Tamandua tetradactyla: one gene and its partner. The protein of the gene in region 2 purifies or fractionates together with the protein of the main gene of each other region. This does not show direct contact. Links are inferred from orthologs where the notes say so. Each region holds a gene or a part of one and is shown on either strand. Other genes may lie near its edges.

The links.
Region 1: the proteins of NCOA4 (region 2) and FTH1 purify together in Homo sapiens (co-immunoprecipitation; 6 studies listed by BioGRID and IntAct, counting the BioPlex papers as one, with this or other methods). This does not show direct contact. The link is inferred for Tamandua tetradactyla from reciprocal best matches to the Homo sapiens genes NCOA4 and FTH1.

Annotation. Positions count from the first base shown.
Region 1 is NC_135335.1:12,986,953-12,994,383, reverse strand, and holds FTH1 (ferritin heavy chain), read right to left. Parts: upstream 3,170-7,431; 5' UTR 2,979-3,169; coding exon 2,865-2,978; intron 1,420-2,864; coding exon 1,273-1,419; intron 959-1,272; coding exon 833-958; intron 736-832; coding exon 571-735; 3' UTR 410-570; downstream 1-409. UniProt on the Homo sapiens protein: Stores iron in a soluble, non-toxic, readily available form. Important for iron homeostasis. Has ferroxidase activity. Iron is taken up in the ferrous form and deposited as ferric hydroxides after oxidation. Also plays a role in delivery of iron to cells.
Region 2 is NC_135339.1:5,604,611-5,613,001, reverse strand, and holds the start of NCOA4 (nuclear receptor coactivator 4), read right to left. Parts: upstream 3,265-8,391; 5' UTR 3,253-3,264; coding exon 3,185-3,252; intron 2,720-3,184; coding exon 2,682-2,719; intron 328-2,681; exon of another isoform or gene 291-327; coding exon of another isoform or gene 281-290; intron 1-280. UniProt on the Homo sapiens protein: Cargo receptor for the autophagic turnover of the iron-binding ferritin complex, playing a central role in iron homeostasis. Acts as an adapter for delivery of ferritin to lysosomes and autophagic degradation of ferritin, a process named ferritinophagy.

The DNA of each region.
Region 1 (7,431 bases), on a different chromosome or scaffold from region 2:
GTGTGCACACCAGAAAGAATTCATCTGGTTAAGCCATTTAGCTGTTCGCACTGAAGAATGTCCCTACTACAGCACTATATGGTTAGCTTAATGGGTAACAAAAGAAAACAAAGTCAGTAGTTCCAGAACTACTTAAGCGTCCTATGCTTTCTAAACGTAAATTGTGAATTAGAATGAACCACTGAAAACAAGTAATTCCAAAAACCTAATTCAGAAATTCAGGAGTACTTAGTGTCTTGTTTAAATTCAAAACACCTACACCTGTTACCTTTCCCAAACTAAGGAATTTAATAAATATAAATCCTCAGAGGAATTTCATTTTATTATGACTGAAACTAAACTGTGGTGCTTAACTGCCAAGATGGCCTAGACAGATTTCCAGCCAACTCAAAGATCTCCAAGACAACAGTTGGGTACCAAATTACTTTATTTGAAGGAATGGTACAAATGAAACAACTTGGTGGGTGTTGATACAACTTAATAGAAAAGGCAAAGGTAAACCCAACATGCATGCACGGCCCTGGTGACCACAGAAGTCACCCCGTGACTCTGGGGAAGACAGCGTAAGGCTTAACTCTCATCATCACTATTTCCCAGGGTGTGCTTGTCAAAGAGATACTCTGCCAAGCCAGAATCCGGGGCCCCCATCTTGTGCAAGTTGGTCACGTAGTCACCCAACTCTTTGATGGATTTCACCTGCTCATTCAGGTAATGTGTCTCAATGAAGTCACACAACTAGAAAAAAATGGGAAACAAAGTTATTGGTAAGCCTTTCCAGCCCCTAAGGCAAATTATTTCTTCCCCCCTTTAGTCCCCAGTTTCCAACACTCACATGGGGGTCATTTTTGTCAGTGGCCAGTTTGTGCAATTCCAGTAGTGACTGATTCACCCTTTTTTCCAAATGTAATGCACACTCCATTGCATTCAGCCCGCTCTCCCAGTCGTCTCGTTCTGGTTTCTGAATGAGATGTGGTTAGGTCAAACATCTGCCACATCCAGTGATTAGCCCATCAACAACAGAGCAGGCACCTAGCTCTAAACGACCAAACTTCTCCAAAAGGGTCATTCAAGCTTCCCTGACACCAGTTTTCAATTTAACATCCTTGCCCATAACTGTTTGCCTACTTTAGTTTAGATGGCAGAAATAAGGCACCAAAAAGACAAAATTAAATGTAACCTCATTTTAAAAGGGAAATCTTCAAGTGATTTGACACCTGAACACTGCTAGCTAATTAGGAGGCCCACATGATGCCTCTAGAATCATTTGTTCACCTTGATATCCTGAAGGAAGATGCGGCCACCTCGTTGGTTCTGCAGCTTCATAAGTTTCTCAGCATGTTCCCTCTCCTCATGAGATTGGTGAAGAAAATATTTGGAAAAGTTCTTCAAAGCCACATCATCACGGTCAAAGTAGTAAGACTGAAAGTATTAAGATGTATATATTAGGCTAGGGATTATCAAAGGAGTAGCTTTAACAGGCTATTAAGTAGCAATGAGTCTGGTAGCCACCGCTTCCCTTTCAAAGCACATCAAGAGGGGACAGTCCCTAAAGAGATGCCGGTCAAGTGTGCTCCTGAATTCTACACCTAAGGGTGATGAGTTGTTACTCTAAAATACAAAACTGAAATTGATTTAGCTTGCTTCTTTGGGGAACCTTTAGAATATCATAGGAATTTACCTTCAACACAACGGATCCTAAAGACTATTGGTGCAGAAGAGAATTTCTTACTGCCAGTACCTTCCTTGCCCTCCCTTCCCAATTACCCCACATTAAAGCATGTGTTCTAAAGAGTTCATAAACTTGTCAGCTGTACAGTAGATTCCTGGATTTTCAAAATTAACCGGCCAGGGAAGATGATGCTTGTGGGCAAATGCTGATGTTAATGTATTACCGTAGAAAACAACATTTTGATTTTTCAGTTTTAGACCCTTGCTGTATTCAAGTGTTCCTTAAACTGAATGGCACACAGAAATCCAGGCCCGTTTCCAATCCCATTTGGTACGTGTCTGTTCTTGGATAACTTGAAATTATGTAAGGCAGTTCTGCTCAATACTCCCACCACAGGGCCTAAAACCAAGACTTGGTAAAACGAGTAAAAACGTGACGATTTATTGCATGGAAACATTTCTTTCCTAGTTAACTGTTGATGGCCTCTTATCAAGAATTAACAGTTCAATTAATGCGCCTCCATAACCCTCCAACCAAGCAGCAAAAGGAAAAAGAACTAAGTCTTGAGCCGCAAGGGCGGGTTAAGTAACTCGGCGAAGGCAGGCGATTCCTAGAGATACGCTTAAATTCAAGTGGGACTTACAGATAAGCACAGCAAAGGGCTGGAGATGGCTGCTCGGGGGGGGGGCCCGCCCACGGGAGATAAACCACTTCCCACCCAGCCCCCAAGGTTGCCACTCGACGCCATACCCTGGGGGATGGGAGCTGAGCTCTTCGCCCCCATTACCCAGAGAAATGGAGGGCCCACACACACGGCTGCAGGCGGAGAAAAGGGCAGAAGAACAACAACAAAAAAAAATCACCTTCCTAACCGCAGGCTTGAATGTACAGTCTGCAAGTCTTGCAAACCCGGGATTTTCAGAACACTTGACTCTCCCCCTCCCTAAAGAGAGGTGCGCAGTGGAGGCTCTAGCCCAGGAGGGAGCGCTCCCTGGGACACCCGGAAGGCACGAAATTGCCCACAATCAGAATTGCTGCGCAATGCATGTCCGGGGTAGACTGGGAGCAGCTTCCATTTTCCCAAGGGCGCGCGGAGGCGGTGGCCACACCCCCGCCCCGCCCAGCAACCCGCGGGGCCCCAGGGAGACCGCGCCCGGCCCCCAACCCAGCCGCGAGCCCGCTCGCCAGGCCTCACCATCGACAGGTAGACGTAAGAGGCGTAGAGCTCCAGGTTGATCTGGCGGTTAATGGCGGCCTCTGAGTCCTGGTTGTAGTTCTGGCGCACCTGCGACGGGGACGTGGTCGTCATGGTGGGCGGTTGAGGAGAGGAGGAGGCGGCGGCTGCGCGGCGCTGGAGAGGTGGCTGAAAGCTGCTCGGAGTGGCCGGCCGACGGGGAGGAGGCGAGCGCCGGGTTCCGTTCAAGCACTGTTGAAGCAGGAAACCACGGCGACTCTCCGCGAAGACGTCTGCGGCGGACGGCTGCTCAGCCCGCGTCTTATATCGGGTAGTCGGCGTCAAGCCCGCCCCGGCCAATCAGAACCGCCCGCTCGCCCCTCTGAGGCCCGCCCCTTCCGGTGGGCGCGCGAGCCCCTCCCATCTGGCTTGGGGGAGGGGCGCCTCCCCCCCCCCCCCCCTCCACCGCGCGCTTAGTGGGCTTGAGGGAAGGCCTGGGGAGGGGCGCCGAGTCTACCACAAAGCCCCGAGCTCGGAGGCCCACGGGGCCGCGGAACTGGTGGGAATCGGCCCCGGGCTCGCAAGTGGTCGGGACGGGGGGTTGGGGGGGATGCTGAGGTACCAAACGGGCACCCCGAGGCTCTTGGCCAAGGACACGCTGTGAACAAAATCCGGGCCTCAGAGAAGCGGTTGCCACGCGCCTCGAGGCGCTTGCCCGGATTCCCAGGGGAAAATGGACGGTGGTTAGAAGCGGGTCCTCGTTGGCCGAGGGCGTCAGAGGCTGGGTTGGGAAAAGGCGCACTTTCCCTTCCCTACGGAGCAGAATGGAGGCGCGGGGCCCGCCGCGGGCGTTCGGATTCGCGCCCGCCCGTCGCCGAGAGCAAACATGGCTCCTCGTGCAGTGTGAGAACAAAGGCCGCGACGGGCGTTGTCCTGGTGCCCTGGAGTCTGAGGCCCGGAGCTGAGCCGCCTGACGTGAGAAATTCGCGGGTGGCTTAAAACTCAAAACACAGAACTCGGGAGTTTAAAAAGAAAGGAGAAGAGACTTAGGCGGCTCGGATCGGCCTCGTAGGCGCCCCATTCGCGGGAGCCTGGGGTCGAGGAGACCCCGCGAGGGGCCGCTCCCCTGGGGTTGTCCTTGAAGAGAAGCTGATGACCCTGAGTGGTGGGGGGACGGGCGCCAGGGACCCTGGAGGGGCTCGTGGGGGGCTCGCAGCTGTGAAGCAGTGTGGGCACGACTTCGTGACTCCCGCCTCCTGCCCTCCTAGCCTCCTGGTTTGGGGGTTCTCTGTTCTCGGCCAGCCCCTTCGATGTGTGTGGAGACCCATTAAAAAACCCTTTTAATGCTCACACACATAAAACTGGAAGCTGGGCTTCCAAAGCGTTGTTTTTTGTTTTGTTTTGTTTTTTCAAGGAACACCATTAAAATATTAAAAGAAGTTTGCTGATGGAAGTATGGCAGTTTCTCCCTCTTGGCGCTTTATTCATTTCAAAATGAACGTAAACTAGTCTCAGGAAGAATTTCTAGTAGGGTCAGAGTTACGAAAAAGTAAGCAGAAGCTGGCTGTGAAATACAGAAGAGGGGTGCCTTACCCGAACAGGGATAGGTCATGCAGGCTTCCGCTACGAAAGTGATACGCGAGTTTGGAGAAGTTAATTAAAAGGAAGGTGAAGTGGGCCAGAGAATTCCAAGCAGGGGGAACAGCATATGTGAATGTATGAAGGTGTGGCAATGCATGGTCTGTCCAGGGAACCTTCAGAAAGGGTGTCAGCCTGGAGAGTAAAGATCATGTTGGAGAATGATGCAAGGGGAATCTAGGGCAAGGTCTGGACAGTTGTGTGCCATAAAAAGGGGTTAAACTTTATCCTGGATTCAACATGGAGATTCTAAGGGATTTCTAACCAGGGAGACACAGCAGTAGTTTGTTTTTAGAGATCTTACAATGGATCAACAGATAATTTATTAGAATAAGACTCCAGTTAAGTCACCGGATGCAAAGCTTTCCTACATAACAGGAACCACCATTTAGAAAATGTGATGAAAGGAAAAAGAAATTCATTTACATTGACAACAAAAGCTTAAAATACCTTGTCATAAAGTGAACAGGGACTGTATGAAAAAAAAACTGTCAACAATTACTGCTAGAAAGGAAAAGACAACTTGCTGCAATGGAGACACCATGTTTCCAAATGGAAAGGTTTCATTTTTTAAAGATGTCGGTTTTCCCCAAATAAACGTATAAATTCAAAGCAATTTCCATAAAACTTCTTGGGACTTGATTCTAAAGTTTATTTGTAAAAAATGTGTAGAATAGCTGACAAACACTTGGGGATAGAAAGCTTTAAAGGTAGATTTGCCCTCCCTGATAACAAAAAAGTACTAAAAGTGCTATAAGCAGTGTTTAATTGAAACAGTGATTAGGTCAGCACAACAAAACAGTCCCACCCACATATTTATGGGAACATGGTACATGATAAAGTGGCATTTCAAATTAGAGGAGAAAGAATGATTTCAGGAAATGATTTTGAAACAATTGGTAGTCATCTGGAAAACAGTGACTCATTCTACTAAAAAATATGGTTCAAAAGAAAAAAAATATGGTCCAGATGGACTAAAATTACAAACGTTAAAGAAAAACCTATTTATACATTTATACCACCTTTAGGTGGTGAGAAAAATATATGGAAGATTATCTTTTATAGTTTTGGGGTAGGGAGTGCTCTTCTGAGGCCTTCTTAAAAGGAAACTTAGCAGATTGACTCCTTAAAAATGAAACACTGGGCAGGCCACGGTGGCTCAACAGGCTGAGTTCTTGCCTGTTATGCTGGAGACCTGAGTTCGAGTGCCCATGCCTGCCCATGCAAAAAAAAAAAAAAAACCCCAGTAAAATTAAAGATGCCACTTGCAAAGTTAAATAGACAAATAACAAGGTGGGTTGACAGTATTTGTAGCTTGTATAAGTCATGACTGTCAATAAGCAAAATATATATATATGTAGTTACATAATGTAATATATATATATAATGTAATTATATATCATATACATATAAATCCCACCTTTTGGTAACCACTCTGATGGTCTCCCCTGCTCCCTGAGGGCAGACACTGTTTCTAACTTCTTCATCGCTGCACTGCCAGGACTTTTGCAAGGTGCTTTGTTAGTCATGCTCAGTATTTGTTGAATGAATGGATGGATGAGTGATTGAGCGTGGAAGATGGATCAAAGTTAGGCGAGAGAGCTAGATACCAGTTGGGAGACAGCAACCCTAACCCTCAGTGTGCAGAGGGGACAGAAAACAGATTGAGAGACATGGGGAAGAAACAATGGACAGGATGAAGTGGCTGATGGGTTAATATGGGGGTGGGCAGACAGCTCCCTAGGTTTCTGGCCCGGACAGCTGGCTTCCTGGTTCCTTTCTCTGAAACAGGGAGCACGGGAAGAAATGGGAGATGGCCAGCTTTGTTTTGGACTGGAGGTGCTGAGTTTGAATAGCCCCCAGGGGGCTTTCCAGAGGGAAAGCGCTAGCATGAAGTTGGAGAGAAATGCGCCTATTTTAGAAAGCAGAATTTATGAATCATTATTGGCTCCATGCTTGGTTAAACACACAGGCAGCTACAGTGAACCTCAGAGCAAAACGGAGGGACGGTTTGTACTGTAGAACGTGGCTTGGGGGCTGGCTAGGCTGGGAAGAATGGAAGGGAAATCTTGTGTGAGTGTGTGTGTACGCGCGTGCGTGCATGCATGCACTTGTGCCGCTTTGCCACCTGGAGGGCCAACTGGGGGGAGGGGTGTCAGAACTGCCATCTCTAAGTCTCTAGATTCTTCCAAAGCTGCAGCCTGGTCTTTGGACCTTTGTTGACCAGGAGCACACACACCCGCCCCTCTGCTTCGCGTGACTTCTAGGAGGCTGGAGTTTGGCTGGTCTCCAAGGCAGCTGCCTCCCGGGGCCAGGAGCCGCGGGAGGGGCTGTAGGGGAGGGGAAAAGGGCCTGGCGGGTTGAATCGGGAGAAAGCTGGCCCGTCCTAGAGCTGGAGGAGGCCAGTGGTGGGGGATGTGGTGGAAATTTGCTGCCCCACCATGACTCAGCACTCTGCTGGTCCTGAGGGATTTGACTTGGGCTCCAAAAGTGCTTTGTCACTAAGGAGGAAGGTGGAGGCCTGGAGGGCTGTGACTTCTCTAAGGTGGGGAGGAGGAAAAGCACCCCCATTTCCTAATGGGGTACACTGGAGGCTGGGCCAGCGAGGAAAAGGATCTGATTTCGGGTTGAGAATTTGTGGGAAAGCAGGGGATGTCTCTTTCCCTGTTTCCTCCTCCTGTAATAGAGAAGTTAGAATTTAGGGGAATATTGTGATTACTGAATCATCGAAATTCCTTTTAAGTTTCTGATATATTAGAGTAGACAGAGAGAAGTACTTGAAATCTCTGAACTGTCCAGCTTCCTTGATCTCTGAAAATGATTGTGTAGCTTTCCTCTTGTGACCTTGTGAGTGTAAAAACCTGCTGACTGACTCTCACTTGTACTACCTTTACTGTTTTATGTTTTTTGTTTTTTTTTTTACTTTAGAAACCTGTAATCACAAAGGCAA
Region 2 (8,391 bases):
ATGTAGGGGCCAGGGGGGCTAGCGGAGAGCTGGATGGGGACAAAAGCAGTGTGAGCCCCACCCTCAAAAATAAAACAGTGGAAAGGAGAAGCCCAAAATACGTACTTTTTTTTTTTTTTAATCTTTCTGGTTTTTATTGATGAGGGCATGTTTTGTTATTTTTGTTATCTGTCATCTTTTTTATTCTGTAAACATTATTTCATTGTTAAATATAACATATATACAAAGAAAAGAAAGAAAAAGCAATGATTTCCAAAGTACACTTCAACAACAAGCTTACTTTTGATCATCGCAGCAAAAGATTCACATCCAGGAACTATGGCATTCCTGTAGGAAAGAAAACTTTCTAACTTCCCTTAAAATTTTATTATCTCAGTGTTTCCCCAAAATGATTTGCAGTGTCAAAGATCTCAGAGCTCTGGATGATTCAGGAGACAAATTCAAATGCATACACTGCTGACTGTATTACTAGGTGCCTAAATCAAGAATTCTCAGTGAAATCCCAAGTACTATACAACTCTGAATAAGAGTAAAATATGGCAAGAACACACCACTGGATTTTCCTCTTACCACCTATGGGCAGACTACAGGACAAGATTAAAGTTGCAAAACTGATTCCCCACTGCTACACACACACACACATATTTCTATCACGCTTCAAGCTCAAATGAGCATCATCCCTCAAAACAGGCATCTTGCTGGAACACCTCTTATATGTAAGGGTCTATAGAGTCCATCTGTCAGCCACTAGGAAAACCTGTCTCATTTCTTTATAGTCAGTCCCAGAAAATTTGCCCTTCTGCTGCCTTGGCTTTGTCCCTCCTCCTTCCTGTGGGACAATCTAGGGGCTTCGGCTTCAACAACCCAGCCCCCAAGAAGGAAACTTTAGTGCTTGCCAGTTCATATTATGGCGAAAAGGAAGCCTTTCAAAGCTGAAATCAAGAACCACACTACAAGGATGAACTAAAATCCTGAGTTGAATCATGAGCCCACTTTATGAAATGGCATATGCAGTAAGAGTTGGTCATTTGCAGCAATTTGCCATTCGTTAGAGAGCCAGTGTAGTGCAGCAAGTGTGAAGGTTAGGAGATCACTCTGAGGTGTGACAGGATGTTCCAGGATGCATCTGCAAGCCTGAGACCCATGAGCTATACTTATTTAACCTCTCCAAGCCTTGATTTCCCCTCTGGAACAATGAAGAGAAAGGGCTGCACTGTAGTTAAAGTTAAACATTACCTATAAGCCCTCACCCCAGCCGCTGCACACTATAAGCTCCCCATTACTCTCGTTGTTATTATTATTATTAGGTGTAGCTGAGTGAGGGGCACCTCAGGAACCTTCACCTTTAGAGTTCAGAAATCAGCACCGAAACTGGAATAGGCTTTGAGGTGAGAAGGCCCTAACTAAGACTCCTTTAGCCATTTATCAGTGCCATGACTCTGGACCACTTGCCCTTCTTGAACTTAACTTTCTAATTCATAAGTAAGGAAAACAATATCTGTTTCATAGGCTTGTGGGTACAGAGCTAGTACTTGCTTAATAAACAGCCCTGTCTGGTCTTTCACTATACGATGTGGCAAAAAGCAAACCGTTTTTACAACAAAAACTCATAAATTTACACCTTACAATACATTCAAAGTACGCAGTTTTGCCTGTAGAAAGATTGGACCAAATCAGTCCTAATTTCAAAATTAATATTTACTATTATTGTCCAAATTCCTGTCCTACCATCTTCAAATGAGGATCACTTTAAATTTTTATTTTTGAGACAAAGTTAAAAGTTTAAGCGCTTTCTAAATCTTCCCTGGCACTAAGATCCCAGGGTTTTGGAGGGGAGGAGAGAGGGCAGGGCACAGCAGAAGCAGCTAGAGACACACACAACCCTCAAATAACAGAACCTGGAACCTTCCTCAAAAAAAATTGTACGAACTGTACAAGCCATACTTGCACAAATCTTGTTATGAAATCCTAAGATCATGAACAACTAACCACAAATGAACCTAAGTCATTATCATATGGCTTAACCATAAAATTTCCAAAGAGCTATAAAACTCTCTTGTGACACATAAACCACAATTTAAAGTTGGAAAACACCTTGGAAATCTGCTTAGTACACCACCCTAACTTTACAGATGAAGACACAAAGGCTAGGATAGGTTAAATGACCCATCTAAAGTCTCACCATCAAATCTACCATCTAAAAGGGTATCTGGATTTTGAACTAAGGTTCCTGAGGTCTAGTCCTGGATTCTCTCCCTACCACACCTATTCTTTTCTTGGTGTATTATCACCCATGAGTTCATTTTATTTGCCAATAAGTTTCAAGGTATCATTTCAATGGTCTACTACCTAAAAAACTTCCATTAAGATTAGCTCACCTTAGACTAGATCACTTTAACTGCGCCTTCCAGTTCTCACATTCTTTATCTACCTTCCCACCCTCCCTCCTTCCCCCCAAAATAATCGATGCCCACTTTTCATCTATTTTCCTGACTCTGCTGCTAGAAGGCCAAGCCCTCAAGAAACTATGTACAGAATACATTTGTCCTATGCATTAGTAAATTCCAAATACTTAACGACCAATTACATTACCTTGGATAAGGCAACCTACATAAGATTTTGTACAAACTTTCATTAAAACAATCATAAAACAGTAATTGATAGTATGCGTTTAATTTTACCTTGGGACATTTCTTCTTTACGCCAAGAGTTTCTTCTTCTTGTCGGTTAAAAAAAAAAGATCGTTTTTTATATCAAAATTCATTAATTTTGATTAAATTCAAATTCATTAAACCATGTTACACATGGTTACCCTAGCCCACTTTCAAATTCTTTATCAAGACAAGTAGTTTCTGAAATTCAGAAACTAGTTCTGCATAACTGTTTTTAAAACCACTCAAACAAACGTTAATGTCTAAAGCTAATTAAAATAAGGTAATAATTTGAATTCGCTAGAGCATATTTTAAGGTTTTTAATACTTCAGAGCATAATGAGCTCGGATTTATCTTTTATACGTGTAACTGACTTATGGGAGCAAGTAATCCCAGTATATCAACTTTTCGAACCAGTAAACTGAAAACTGACTACAAAATTTTAGCATGGAGTGACAAGTAAAGCTCTTCTATTTCAAAAGCAACAGTGATTCATGCAGCTTTCTAGGTTTCCACATTAACTTCCACGCACTTTCCGCAGCCTCCAACCCAACCGCCCTTCACTTGCGGCTGAAGGCCGGGGCGCCGCGCAGCACGCATGCGCGCAGCCCGGGCCTCTGCTCCTGCGCGCGCCGACCCAGGAAGACTAGCTGGCCGCGACGCACCCGCGGGACTGCCGCGACGAACCTCGCAGGCCGGTCTCCGCCGCGCGAACAGGCCAGCGAGCAGGTGGCCCTTTTATCCCCGGCCTCGGCACTGAAGCTGCCCAGAGCCAACCGGCCGCGCCCCGCCTCGCCCCGCCGTCAAGCGCCCGCCCCCAGCGCCAGGGCTTCCGAAGGCATCCACGCCCTCCCTGCAGCCGGGCCAGCGTGGCAGAGAACCATCTCGCGTCTCCCCTTCAGACCCTTGGCTTCCTTTATTCCTTCCCCGTCCAAATCTTCAAGACTTCTCTGTTTTAAGGTTTTGAGGCTAGTCACTACAAAGAAATAACAAACGTGGAGGTGCTGGGCAGTTGAGTATTACTGAAATGTTCCTTCCTAACTCCCTACCTCCGTCAGCCCAGCAGAGGTTCAGCCCCCGGCCTGTTTCTGCCTCCCTGGCGTCCCCTCACATTTGTGACACGCCTCTGTCTCTGCCACATTCATATTCTCTTCTTCTCCCTCTGTCCAAAACTTCTGTTCTACAATAAACAGTGCCTGAGCCAGACAATCTACTCTCGGGGCTGGGAATACGGTAGTGAACCTGGGAGTTCCTACCAGCAAAGGCAGTAGATAGCGGCTAAGAGGATGGACTCTGCAGCCAGACAGTGTGGGTACAATACCTGGCTCTGCCACTGATGCGAGGTATAACCTTCCATCAGTCAGTTAACCACCCCGTGCCTCAGTTTCCCTATCTGTAAAATGGGGACAATAATGAACCCAACGTAACACTACCTGCTTCTGGTACTTCTAGACCAATATCCTTTTTTCCGAAGACAATCCTTTTTTATATCCTGAATCAGGGCAAAAGAGGAAATCTGGACAGCACTGTCATTCCCAGTCTATAGTCTTTTGAATGTAAAGGCTTGCTCTTGTCTATGCATGGAGCTTTTTTGGGGGGGGGGGGAAGGTAAAGAGTAAAGCAAAACCATGTGACAAAAGCAAAGGGGACCACACACATAGCCTCAATGAAGGAGGCCTTCGATTTCAAGAGAACAGTATTTGGGGGCACTCCTGCACACAGTTTCGGAGATCCCATTTCAGACATCCATTACCAAAAATATTGAGAAAACAATTTTTCCCTAATTCAAATTACCCTCATTGGATGAATATACAAAGAAAATTCAGCATCTTTCTGAATGATGAACGTTAAAAAATTCACAGTCCTCTGCACTTTGTCAATGGCTACAGAGAAGGAATTCTTCATCTGTTCAGTCAAGAACTTCTCATCTCTTTTATGTGCCCCTGTGAAGTGGTCACAATATAAATACAGGAGACACTTTACTGGCCATCACTATTTAACCAGCGGCCTCTACTCCCTCTAAAGGATTCTGACCAAGGCTCCCTCACACTGGAGGCTCCTGCTACTCCTCCACCGATGTGCCCACTGAGTTACAAAATTATCAAGTTCCGACGTGTTTGTTCTCTGGCCAGTTTATGCCAACTTCGTTACTACAAAGAAGTGATTTCATTAAATATTGCATAACATAATAAAAAACTGGAGAGAGAAATCTAGAAGAATTCTACACTCAGGCCATTTTGCAGGGTTTTTTTCACTCCATTAAGCATATTTCCCTTGTGTCTTTAAAAAATGTTTAGGTCCTGAAGGGGAAATATTGACAAAGCATTTTTTCTCCCTTCTGCCTCAAGATTTTCTATGCTATCTCAAAACAACAGAACCATCCATTCCTAGTAGATCTTTTAAAGAGAGCATGAACTTTAACATCTCCAGAGACTCCCCCACTGCCTGTGGGAGAAAGGCCAAATCACCCTGACTCTCCTGCGGTCTCCTCAGTGCAGATGCCACACCCTGACCTGCTGGACACTGTTCCACGCCTAGTCCAGGCTTACTCTCCCAGCTCTTTCTGCCAGCAGTGCCAGTCCCCCCACTTCTTCACACTGGTACATTTGTAGACTCTGTTCAAGTGAACAGAGCCCTTCCTGACCAAACATGGCACTCTTCAACAGAGATGGCCACTGCCTCCTGTGCCCACTGTAACTTGAACAGGCTTTCCACATGACACAGGTAACATGTGTTGCCCTTATGCTACATGCCTGTGTTCTGAGATTGGGAACTCCCTGAGAGAAGATATAGTGACTTATTTGCCTTTGTAGACCGTAATGCTGAAGGGACAGCCTGGTATCACTACCGTGGCATTATGCAATCCCACTCACATTCTATGCACCTCAATGAATGACATCAAGAGAATGGTGTCCCTGGAGTTGTACAATACTGCTTGAGAATAAGTTTCCTAAACATTTTCAGACCATCCAATAGCGGGGCTTGATTCTGCTTAAACATAACCAACTTGATGTCTCGCTAAGGCCTGCATTAACTCTGGAAGGGTTTTCAGAGGAGATAAAGCTTTCTAGCCTTAAAACACAGCTATTACTTTTAGTTTTCTTTCAGGCAAGACAAAGCTGACAAGTACATTGCCCATGGGGTCATGATCTTAGGCTAAGCCCTAGGATAAAATGTCCTCCCTGATACCAGGCCTGAAGCTTAACCTCACAGATGAACAAGCACCAGGAGGTTTGTGAGTTAAAGAGAAAATTATTTCTTATTTAACTTTGTATTTTTTTCTCAGACTTTGCAGTATCACAGAAATTCCACCTAATGTCAACAGGAGTTTAGTAGGCTTTCAGAACTGGGGCTTTGCCCTATCTTCAACTTTAAATGTGTGACCATAACTTAAGCAAGGGTAGGAAAACATGTTACTTATCTACCATCAGAACACCACCACCATTTTATCCCTGCTTTTACAGAGTAAACATCTCGTGTTACTCTCCTCTTCTAAAGCTTGAGGTGCTAGCAATAATGTCAAAATAGACCCCAAAATATACACATGCTTATGTTCTCATGAAATCTGCAATTGTCTAAGAACTATGACTAAACTGACAAGTCAAACAAGCACAAAGCTTTTAACCTAATAGGGTGCGGAGGGCAATGCTGGGAAAAAGAGACCTCCTAAGTACCCTGGAGTTGCAAGCACGGTGGGGGTGCAAGGGTAGTTCACTGGTAGAATTCTTGCCTGCCATGCAGGAGACCAGGGTTCAATTCCCAGCCTGTGTACTACCCCCACCCTCCAAAAAAGCAAGATAGTCACATGGAAAAAGAACGAAATGTGACCCCCCGACCATAAAGCATCCAAAACAAAAAGTGCCCAAACACAATTCTAGTTCCACCAGCAGGACACCTTGACTCCACCGCATAATGAAGCCAAGCCAAATCAGGGAGGACAACTTGGGATAAGAATGAATCATTCACGTCAGGAGTAAAAGGAGCACCCATGAAACAACTTTTCATTCACTTGCCAGTGGGCCTAATTCAGAAAATACCTGTGATGTGTACGGATATGAGGTATTGCAGGGTTGCAGGTAAGCTTATAAATCATGACCGTGATGTTATGATTTAACAATCAAAGATGACATGCTCTAACTGACAAGCAAAGACACAAAAAGCTCTTTAGAGAGCAAAAGCGGTCACCCAGCCCCTCACTCCAACCCAGGTGACCACACTGTTCACTTGAGTTCCATGTTTTTCACTTGAGTTACATATTGAAGCAATGTATGTACATCTATCTATGATAAAACAAAGCCCAAATGAAAACCTGCGACAAACATTTTAAGAGGGCTAAAACATAGCAAGAAGAGCACTAAAAATGCCATAGACACTGACAGCTCTCTCAGAAAACTGAACTTCACTGCAGGATGCACATTGGCTGGTACTGATTACAGTCATCTCAGATTTGCCTTTCACGAGCTAACCTATAAGTATCCAGAGGCGGTTCGATAATGCTGCAGAAGTCCGATCCCAACGGGGGCATATTCATTCAGCTGTACGTCTTGAATAATGTCATGCCTTCCTTCCAAATTTTTTTTTAAATTGCCAAAGATTAATGTATGCAATGCACTTTGACTAATGCTTGGCACATAGTGAGAGCTACATTGCCATTTTTATGACATTTTGTCAGAGAAAAAGCATAATAATAAGGAAAGAAGACCTTTGATTTTGTAGTTTGTCCATTTCGTAAGCCCCCACCTTCTCCAGCCCAGATTCCTGCAGAAACCTCAGGACAGCCAACCACCCCTACCCTCCTCTCTTTGCTCACTCAGTCTAGCCTCATTGCTGCTCCTCCAGCAGGCCAAGGATGCTCTGCCCTCATAACCCTTGCATGTTCTTCCAGATATCCTCATGGCTCTCCTTCCTTCAGGTGTCTGCTCAATGGTCATGTGCTCAGTGAGGTCTTTCCTGACCATCCTCTTTAAAATAATTCTTCCCTCCACCCCCTTAATGTGCTTTAGTTTTCTGCATCCTACTTATCACGATCGGACATACAGAAACTTTATTTTCTGACTCCCCTTCAGAAAATACACTGGAAGGTAAGTTCTACAGGGACAGACACCTCATCTTTGTGTTCACTATCATATAGTGGGTTTTCAATATATATTTGTTGAACAAACGAATTCAGTAAGTATTGACTTCCATATAACTATGGCCCAGGACTTTCTTTTACACAGTATCTCATGTGCTCCTCACAAACCTTTAAGGACACCATTTTTAAAATAGAGAAAATGAAGCTTAGCAAGGTTAAATATATTACATGCAGCCATAAGCTTCCAAGTGGAGGAGCCAAGTTTAGTCCCAGTTGTGAGTCTAAAGTCCACAGCCACAGACTGCATATTAAAGGAATCACTTGGATATTAAGATTTTATGTATTCATTCAACAAATACGTAGTAAGTATCTACATGTCACTTGTTGTGAGAGTCCCTAAAGATACACCGGTAGCTAGAGTAGGACTGCCACCTAGAGGAGGATTTGTGTCACTGAGTCACATAAAACTAAACAGAAAATCCCAAATCTTTAGAACTAGAGATTGAGAAAAGTCCATGAGCAGTAATGATCGGCTCTGAATGCCTTCCAGTATGCTAATATTTACCATAAGGGGTTCTCAAATGGAGAGAGGGTTACATGTCAGAATATCCTGGGGCACTTTATGGAACCCCTATACAGGTTCCAGAGGTCCGGGCACATTTAAC